2 linked regions of the Arabidopsis thaliana genome follow. The protein of the gene in region 1 interacts with the protein of each later gene in a pairwise test. Each region holds a gene or a part of one and is shown in the gene's direction. Other genes may lie near its edges.

Region 1 (5,240 bases):
AAAGAATGTAAACTATGTACAACACATCTACATTTTCATATGTTATGATCCATGAAACATAGTATAGATATACAATTTCGTATAATTTTACCGTTGTTTATTTGTAGACTATCTAGAAGTGTAAAATATTCGGATATTTTAAAGTCTGCATCCCTTTCCCAAAAATGCCTTGGTTGCATAGATAATTGGTTTTATTATCTTTGATTTTGTTTATTGTCATTGGTTTTGTAAGCAGGGGATATAGGTCGAAACCTATGCGAGAGAGAGGGGACTAAGAAACGTACAAAAGGTAGCCCGCAAAAATTAATGTAAAACAATGTTATTAGCTAGTACATTGGCTAACTTCTTTGGGTTTTCTATCAACCATTGATTTTGCAAAACAGTAAAATCTTTAAAAGTTAAAACTTGCTATAACTTAATCTCTCGTCAATAATATTACGAATCCTAAAGTTACAAGAGAAAAAAATAATACGAACAAAATGGAGCATGACTAAAAGAAAATCAGATCTGACGTAATTATGAAATTAAACCAAAATGTCGTATTTAACTACATAATATTATGTGGAGTGGTAATTATTTACATCATCGATGCATGAACACCACATGTGACTTTTTGTGAGTTAGTTTCTTTTTAGGACATTTACGCAAAGCTTTAACTAACATATACGTTTCTTGTTGGATGGTATTGGTAGTAACACTCTTATCTTTTTCCATTGTTATTATATTCACTTTGCTCCACAAGCTAGTCAATTTGCTGATATAGTTTTAGTGTTTTTTTTTTTTTTTTTTTTTTTCATATTTCAACATTATACAAAAATTATAAAGAAACTGTGATGGACAGTTCAATAGCAAAGTTTGGAAGTGAATGATATTGAATGGTTTTCAAGTTAAAATCATGAGTACGACGTCTGTATATATCATTCACATAAGTTCATACTATATTGTGAAAAAAAGATTATCTAATCCTTTTGTTGTTCATTGGTTTTACTGTTTCTATTATATGACATACCAATGATCCAACCATCAGATTAATTTTATGATAAATAAAAGACAATTCGCAAATTATTACCCGAAGGCATAACTGAAATCGGAGTGTCACTAAATTTATGGTCAAAGCAAATAACGCTTACTAACCGCATCAGTCCAGCAATTTTAATGAACAAAGAAAATAAATCCAGTGAAGAAAAAAAAAGAAAAAAAAAAAAAATCCAGCAAAGTTATATCCCAAACTACTTTTTACTTGCACTGATTACATATGTAATCGAACACATGGATCAATAACCGTTGATGTAATATCACTCAAGAATAGAATTGGCCCATCCGATATATGTAACTTAAATCCTCGGGGAGACGACCAAGAAGATGGTCCAAAAATATCATTGGAACCACGTGAATCTTGATAAATATTTGGTACTCCACTCAATACTATTATTTATTATATGAATAGGACAATTCTTTTATTTGTTTCCTAGACTAAAAATCTCACTAAAAGTGTGAATATATGTGTATATAGTATAATATTCCAAAAATCTCACTTCAAGTATACCCTTTGTTTTCTTCTGCAAATTCTGGTAAAAACAGGCATTACAAATTACAAAATATATCAATATATATTCACCTCCTCTATGAATTAAGACTATTACTATAAGTAAAAATGTTGCTATATTTCTAAAACCACTAATATTTTTCCTTTTGAACATTACAAAAATAATCTAATAACTCCACAGGTTACAGCTAGTTTCTCCCTTTTTTTTAACAATGTTACAGCTAGCTTTCCCTATATGCACATATATCACAACAAAAGAAAATTACTAAAATCTAAAATAATAACCCCCATAAAGAAAAATGCCTACAAATTGGGAAATATGTACTGCAAATAATACAGAAATAGCCTACGTTTTCTTATAGAGAAACTACCACCATATTATACAACTAATTTGGGACCATAAATTTACACAACTTGAAACAAATTGGAAGCTAAGTTTGTACCTTTAAAGCAAGCAAAGAAAACTTTACAAAACAAAGAAGAAGAACTAAAAGCAAAATTAATGAAAAAGCATTGGATAAATATGTTCTAACATGTCCGAGATCCGGATTGTGTTTTTAGGTACCATTCTTGTCTCCTCCCAAAGCTTCACCACAACTATTTTCATTTTATTTTAAAAACACATAATAATATATATCTCTTTCAAGAAAATCAAAAGTAAGCCTCGTTCTTCTCCCTCTGTCTCTCTCTTCTCTCATCTTTAGCTATCTTCCTCCCATGGCAACTATCTCTCAAGTCATTATCTAACTTTTTTTCCTTCTTTTTCTTTTTATATTACTTACTTCTTATGGATATTGGTGTTCATGTTCTTGGGTCGGTTACTAGTAATGAAAATGAGTCACTTGGTCTAAAAGAGCTTATAGGAACTAAACAAGATAGATCCGGATTCATCGGTGAGGATTGCTTGCAACGAAGCTTGAAGCTAGCAAGAACGACAACTAGAGCGGAAGAAGAAGAAAACTTGTCTTCTTCTGTTGCAGCTGCTTATTGCAAAACGATGTCGTTTCACCAAGGCATTCCTCTCATGAGATCTGCTTCTCCTCTTTCCTCTGATTCTCGCCGTCAAGAACAAATGCTTAGCTTCTCAGATAAACCAGACGCTCTTGATTTCAGTAAATATGTCGGTTTGGATAATAGCAGTAATAACAAGAACTCTCTCTCGCCGTTTCTTCACCAGATTCCTCCACCTTCTTACTTTAGAAGCTCAGGTTTGATAATGTCTTCTCTTTATTGATTGGATTTTGGTGAAATGGGTTGTGTAAAATAATCAAATTTTTTACATTTTTGCTGTGGAATGCAGGAGGATATGGTTCTGGTGGAATGATGATGAACATGAGCATGCAAGGGAACTTCACAGGTGTTAAAGGACCTTTTACATTGACTCAATGGGCTGAGTTAGAGCAACAGGCGTTGATCTATAAGTACATCACAGCCAATGTCCCTGTTCCTTCTAGTTTGCTCATCTCTATCAAGAAGTCTTTTTATCCTTACGGATCTTTGCCTCCTAGTTCCTGTAAGCTCCATCTCTTTAACACAATTTCTAGTTGCACATAACTTTCCATTGAGCGATCACTTGTTTGTGAAAGTTTTGGGGTTTTGATCAACTCATTTGTGGTGTGGTTGCTTAATCCAAGAATCAGATTTTATCTAGTCTTTTATGTCATTTTGGTGCTAAATCCTTCATAACATTGCTCATAGGGTTTTCAAGATTTGTCTTGTTGGTTGAAAAGTCTTTACAACAATGGTTGCTTTTAGGATTTTTCATAGGGAATTTTGTTATAAATGGTTAATGAGTGTTTATGTTCGGTTTTGTGTAGTCGGATGGGGAACTTTCCATCTCGGTTTCGCAGGCGGTAACATGGACCCTGAGCCAGGGAGATGCCGCAGAACAGATGGGAAGAAATGGCGGTGCTCAAGAGACGCCGTTCCTGATCAGAAATACTGTGAAAGACACATCAACAGAGGCCGTCATCGTTCAAGAAAGCCTGTGGAAGTCCAATCTGGCCAAAACCAAACCGCCGCTGCTGCATCCAAAGCGGTTACTACACCACAACAGCCTGTTGTCGCTGGTAATACTAACAGAAGCAATGCCCGTGCATCAAGCAACCGCAGCCTCGCCATTGGAAGTCAATATATCAATCCTTCTACAGAATCTTTACCTAACAACAGGTGAAAACAGATTTTTAATACTCTGCATATTCATTGTTAGTTCATATCTCACTTACTGACTCTTGCAAAACAGAGGAGTTTCGATATATCCTTCCACCGTCAACTTACAACCCAAGGAATCTCCGGTTATTCATCAGAAACACAGAAACAACAACAACCCTTTTGAGTTTGGACACATATCCTCTGATTCGTTACTCAACCCGAATACCGCAAAGACCTATGGATCATCGTTCTTGGATTTCAGCAGCAACCAAGAGAAGCATTCAGGGAATCACAATCACAATTCTTGGCCTGAAGAGCTGACATCAGATTGGACACAGCTCTCAATGTCAATTCCAATAGCATCATCATCCCCTTCCTCCACACACAACAACAACAATGCTCAAGAAAAAACAACACTCTCGCCTCTCAGGCTATCCCGCGAGCTTGACCTATCGATCCAAACCGATGAAACAACAATCGAGCCTACTGTGAAAAAGGTGAATACTTGGATACCAATCTCATGGGGAAACTCCTTAGGAGGTCCTCTAGGTGAAGTACTAAACAGTACAACGAATAGTCCAACATTTGGATCTTCTCCTACAGGGGTTTTGCAAAAGTCCACATTTTGTTCACTCTCTAACAACAGCTCCGTGAGCAGCCCCATTGCAGAGAACAACAGACACAATGGCGATTACTTTCATTACACAACCTGAAAACTGAAACCAAGTCCTGCGGCAGGAAACAAAAAAAGAAAAGCTCTGTTTTTTCTCTTTCATTATGTTCTGTTTCGTCTTTCTAAAGCTTAAAGAGGAAATTAGAAAATCGTTGTTCTTCTGATTCTTTCTTCGTTTCCGATTTCTGAATCATTTGTTTGATAATCACTTCATATAATCACAATCTTTATTCTAATTGTTCAGTTACAAACTAGGGTTTATCTTTGCTCTTTCATCAAGGGAAAACTTTTAGGGTCGTAACAAAAATGGACTTGAGGACCTAAATTATTGTTGGGCTTTATGTTCCAAAACTTTATTTGGGCCGAGATAGGCATTTTAACGATTAAGATATATTATGTAGTGATATTACAGTATTTGGGATCGTGGCAACCGGTTTATTAGGCTTGGTTTAGTACTTTAAAATACAGTGTATCTTTTCAACAATTATGGGCGTTGTAGCATGATGTCAATGCGCATAAAGCCTTTCCAGTTTCCACTAAGTAATAATGTAAATCGTTGTATTAATTTAATAACTCTTTAAGTTATTTATCTCATACACGAGAGTGGGAAAAAGAAAACCAAAATAAAAATCTGTTTTGTTTTCCTTCTTCTCTAGTGTAGTGGAGTCACAACATATAGAAAACGAGAAAGTGGAAAGGAAAATTAGAAAACTATCATTTTCTCTTCCTAACCTTCATTTCATTTACATAGAGAGATAGAGAGACATAGCGAGAGTTTCTTTTTTGCTTTGCTTTTTTTTTTTGGTTATTGTTCTAAGTTTTTCGATATTTTTTCTTCTTAAATATTTTGATCTATCATTGAAGATGAGG
Region 2 (4,754 bases), about 17 Mb from region 1:
TTATACAACAAGTTATCACTGGGTCTCATCACATAACATTACAGTCTGAAGATGTCAAACGAACTTAGACTTTCAACAAGAAGCAAAGAAATGAATCAAATCAATTACAATAATACAACAACAATTGGCAATGAGAATTCTTTTTGAGTAGAGAGTTATCTACATTGGAGTGCAGTTGAAGGCTGTTTCGAATATGATTGATTGATTTTGTTTCAACTTTCAATCAAGGGTCGATGTCAGAACAAGTTGGAAATTCAAGGCCTTCAAGGGAAGTTATGTTATCGATATCGTCTTTAGAGTACAATGGGAGGAGCCAAAACGCCTTCTTCTTCCCAAAAACCTTCACAAGATGAAAACAAAGAGTTATATATTTAATTAACTAACAATCCATGGAATGATGAAAACAATAAAATCTCACCTGCTCGAAGTTTTTCTTCTTTCCTAAGTCATATTTCCATCTGACTTCTCCATTTTTCTCATGAACCTAAAAAAATAAGACAATGATTCAGAGAAGAGACTCATATTTTCAAGACTTAGATTGTTTGTGAAAGCAAGAACATAAAAGATTTACCTCAACTGAAGTAGTGTTGGATGAGAGAAGAGAAATATGCATGACTACGAAACAAAGAAGGCTGAGAACGAACGCAAAGTTAAGAACTGCATCAAGGGGATAGAATCTGTAAGAAACATAAAGACGGAAAATGAGACCCAGAAAAAAGCTAAGCACTTTCTGGGAAAAGGAAAACGAGAAAAAGAACCGTTTATACTCACCGAATGCCAGAACGAGAGAGGCCAGTTTACCCGGAGAAGAAGAATGCTTTATAGCTTGGCTGAAGAATTCAATGAAACTAGGAAGCAAGACAATAACATCCAACATTGTCTCAAGAAAAGTATAGAACTACAAATTAAAAAAAGAGGGTGAAGAAATCAGCAAATCAAATAATCCCAATGCTCGCTTAAACCTTTTAAGAACCATAAGAGACTACAATGGAAATGAATATTTACCAGAAAGAGAAGGAAAAACTTGTAATTGCGTGCTCCAACACAGTTTACAATCCAAACACAATGATGATCCATCTTAAGAACACATCTTTGACCTACATAAGGAAACAAAGAACCGAATAAAGCTTTCTTTCTCTATCAGTAGAAACACAAGCAGAACATAGTATAAACAAATCAGATTTCGCCTTACACACAGAACAATGATGGCAACGAGGCGGCTTAACATTCCGGCATTTGGTACAGTAACCTAAAGAGCCAAAAGCTCCTTGATCTGTCGAAGTACCAGCCTCCAAACTGTCACCACCTCCCATTTCTCTTCTGAAATGCTCAGGAACAGAACCTGGGTCTGTAAAAACTGTTGTGAAGTAGCTCCACAACAGCATTATCAGCTGCAAAGAACCAAGCAAATCAGAAGTATAATTGTAAACCTAAACTCAGGGAGCCTAAACATTTACTAACAATCAATGGTCTAAACAATGATTATGTATCTACACTGCTTCATGCTTCATAACTACATTGCATTTCTCATTCTCTTGGCTACATAAGTTTCATGCCACATCCCTAAGTTTAAGGTTTAGGGGTTAAGTAGCAGAAAACCTAGACTTACAATTCCAGAAACAAAACCTAATCTGAAATTATGAGACTTGGAAATTACCAGGAAATGGAAAACAAAGATGATTAAGGCAGCGAGGGCGGATAAAGCTCCATGGTCTCCGCGGATCAAGATCGGCCACCATGTGCTAACTACGACGGCGTAGTAAGATACACCAACGACGGCGACGACAAGAAGGATCATGAAATAGCCGAGGACTTTCAGACCGGAGCAGAACCGGAAAAGGTTCATCTCCAGCCTGGTCAAAGGGAGAATCCGGACAATTCTTCGAGTCCGAGCCGGGAACAACCGCCGTAAAATATCCGGAGCCACGGTGAGGGATCGGAGTTTGCTTGGTTCGGAGGACAACGACGAATCGCCGTCGTGGAGCTGATATTGATACAGATTTAAAGTAACCTTCTTCTTGACACAGAAGCTTTCATAATTCTTTATAAGGCCCATTAACAGGCCCAATAAATAATAACAGCTACAAATGTTGTCTTTTTTTGGTTATCGTAGAGCTGACGAAAAATCAGACAAGGTGCCACGTGTACATTCGGTGGGGGAGACAAATTAATTGGTTGGGGGACTTTTTTGTCCTACGATTTCCCAGAAACCTCGTCGGCGAAATTCAAACAAATCAAAAGTCTTAAATTTAAGGATAATCCAAAATATTCGTTTGTTGAATATTTTTGCATCAGTTTGTTTTGCATTGGGCTCTTAAACCAATTCTATCACTCAGAATTATTGTTTTGTAATAATCGTGAGAAGAAACTTTAGGGTTTCACTGTTTCAGAGTTTTGATTGGTGAATTATAAAAGATGCAGCAATCTCCACAGATGATTCCGATGGTTCTTCCTTCATTTCCGCCCACCAATAATATCACCACCGAACAGATCCAAAAGGTTACTACTTTACTTTCTATATTTTTTGTCTTTCTGTTGTTTAGTCATAATGTCTGTTTATCGTAGCTTTGAAATTGGTTGTGTAATGATGTTTTTGAGTAGTTTAAACTGTTGTAATGAACTTTCCTTCTTGAGTATGATTTGTTTTAAAGTGTCATTGTTTTCCGCTTTAACTTTTTTTTGTTACTGGAATTGGATGTACAATCATGAGTTTGGAGTTTTTTTTTGAGTGAAAACAGAGTATTTGTATGCATATGAGATTTGAAAGCTTAAAATCAGATTGTGAAGATGACATGTTGACACAGTGAGTCACTTATTGCTGCTTCTTGCAGTATCTTGATGAGAACAAGAAGCTGATAATGGCGATCTTGGAAAATCAGAACCTCGGTAAACTTGCAGAATGTGCTCAGTAAGTGTGGGATTCTCGATACCAAGACCGAGCTATGTTAGCTTTACTGATGGTAAATAGAATATTAATAATAAAACATGGTTCTTGCTTGATTCTTTTAGGTATCAAGCTCTTCTCCAGAAGAATTTGATGTATCTCGCTGCAATTGCGGATGCTCAACCTCAGCCACCAGCAGCTACACTAACATCAGGAGCCATGACTCCCCAAGCAGTAAGTTTCTGTTTTGATCAGTTGAAAAACAAAACATTTTGGTTCTTATAGTTTGTGTGTGTTTGGTTTCTGTAGATGGCTCCTAATCCGTCATCAATGCAGCCACCACCAAGCTACTTCATGCAGCAACATCAAGCTGTGGGAATGGCTCAACAAATACCTCCTGGGATTTTCCCTCCTAGAGGTCCATTGCAATTTGGTAGCCCGCATCAGTTTCTGGATCCGCAGCAACAGTTACATCAACAAGCTATGCAAGGGCACATGGGGATTAGACCAATGGGTTTGAATAATAACAACGGACTGCAACATCAAATGCACCACCATGAAACTGCTCTTGCCGCAAACAATGGTAATATTTGGTTTTACAGCAGTTTGGAACTTATTATCACATTACTGATTTTCACCTTCTTTCTCTACCAAAAGCGGGTCCTAACGATGCTAGTGGAGGAGGTAAACCGGATGGGACCAATATGAGCCAGAGTGGAGCTGATGGGCAAGGTGGCTCAGCCGCTAGACATGGCGGTGGTGATGCAAAAACTGAAGGAAAATGAAATAGAGGAAGAATAAGTGATGCTTCTTGTTGATATCAATTAGGTTCTACCTTTCATTTTTACTTTCTTCACGATGATATAAAAAAAAGGTTTTGTCATTTTATGAGTTAGTCTCTGTTAAAAGGGTTCTGAGACAGTTGAGTTTCAGTTCCTAGATGGATGTGGAATGGTTCACATTCACATGTACAATGTTAAATGTTGTTGTATGGTATTAGTGTCACCGGTTCAATTTGGTGTATGAACCGGGTTTAGAATCACGTTTACCTGATAGTTTGCCTCCAGGTTTGTGTGATAATTAATTCCAAGGCTTGAGATGAAAAGTAACAGTTTTAAAAATGTTTACAGAATCAGCGATAACAAAATTCCAAACCAAACAAACCAATAATGTCTTAGAAGTTTTTCTTTTTGGCTCGATTTCATTTATCGTCAAAATCAACAAACCTTACAAAAGTTATGCATCGGGGAAAAGCTTGATCCGAATAATGTGTTACGCATCAACACAAATTATTACTATAACCAGCTAGAGCAATCAGCCGATCCTCAAATCAAACACAAAAGAGCAGATATTCGAAAATGAATCCATAACGAATGAGAACGATGCACGAGAAGGCATCAAAAGTTATTCAGGACGTGACTTGACGATGAAATTCTGGCGACTGATAGGGTTCATGACGACGGGAGGACCAGCAACTCTTGGCCATGCTTGTAATCTCTCTTCAGTCGCAGCACCCCATTCCTTGTTAGTAATAGTTCCTGGTGTAGTACCTGAGAGTTCAAAACAAACCAAACCAAATTTAGCTTTCTGGATACATCATAAGTAGCTTTATAAGGTTTAAAACTTGCCTCCAAAAAGCTTATCATCAGAAATAACTTTGTCACACACGTAAGCTACTACCGCAGATCCCGCAAGGGCACCGATAATGTATGTAGCTCTCGACATCCTTAACCTGAAGTACATAGATATATCAAACATAATCAAGCCACACAAAAGGAGAAAACGAACTTATATCAGATTATAGCTATAGTGTATAGTGGGATTGAAATGAAGTTTCAAGGCATATTCAACCCTAATCAAGCCAATACAA

What was found.
Region 2: the proteins of GRF2 (region 1) and GIF3 interact in binary tests that used the Arabidopsis thaliana proteins (3 or more experiments, as listed by UniProt).

Annotation. Positions count from the first base shown.
Region 1 is NC_003075.7:17,724,703-17,729,942, reverse strand, and holds GRF2 (growth-regulating factor 2), read left to right. Parts: upstream 1-2,033; 5' UTR 2,034-2,333; coding exon 2,334-2,754; intron 2,755-2,846; coding exon 2,847-3,059; intron 3,060-3,363; coding exon 3,364-3,715; intron 3,716-3,788; coding exon 3,789-4,410; 3' UTR 4,411-4,606; downstream 4,607-5,240. Other genes in the region: bZIP7 (basic leucine-zipper 7), read right to left, coding at 5,226-5,240. UniProt on the Arabidopsis thaliana protein: Transcription activator that plays a role in the regulation of cell expansion in leaf and cotyledons tissues.
Region 2 is NC_003075.7:355,260-360,013, forward strand, and holds GIF3 (GRF1-interacting factor 3), read left to right. Parts: upstream 1-2,085; 5' UTR 2,086-2,415; coding exon 2,416-2,499; intron 2,500-2,831; coding exon 2,832-2,908; intron 2,909-3,009; coding exon 3,010-3,118; intron 3,119-3,193; coding exon 3,194-3,467; coding exon of another isoform or gene 3,468-3,541; coding exon 3,542-3,669; 3' UTR 3,670-4,078; downstream 4,079-4,754. Other genes in the region: AT4G00840 (DHHC-type zinc finger family protein), read right to left, coding at 224-340, 419-484, 572-657, 772-898, 1,006-1,097, 1,193-1,391, 1,658-1,846; ATOZI1 (monopolar spindle protein (DUF1138)), read right to left, coding at 4,289-4,434, 4,513-4,609. UniProt on the Arabidopsis thaliana protein: Transcription coactivator that plays a role in the regulation of cell expansion in leaf and cotyledons tissues.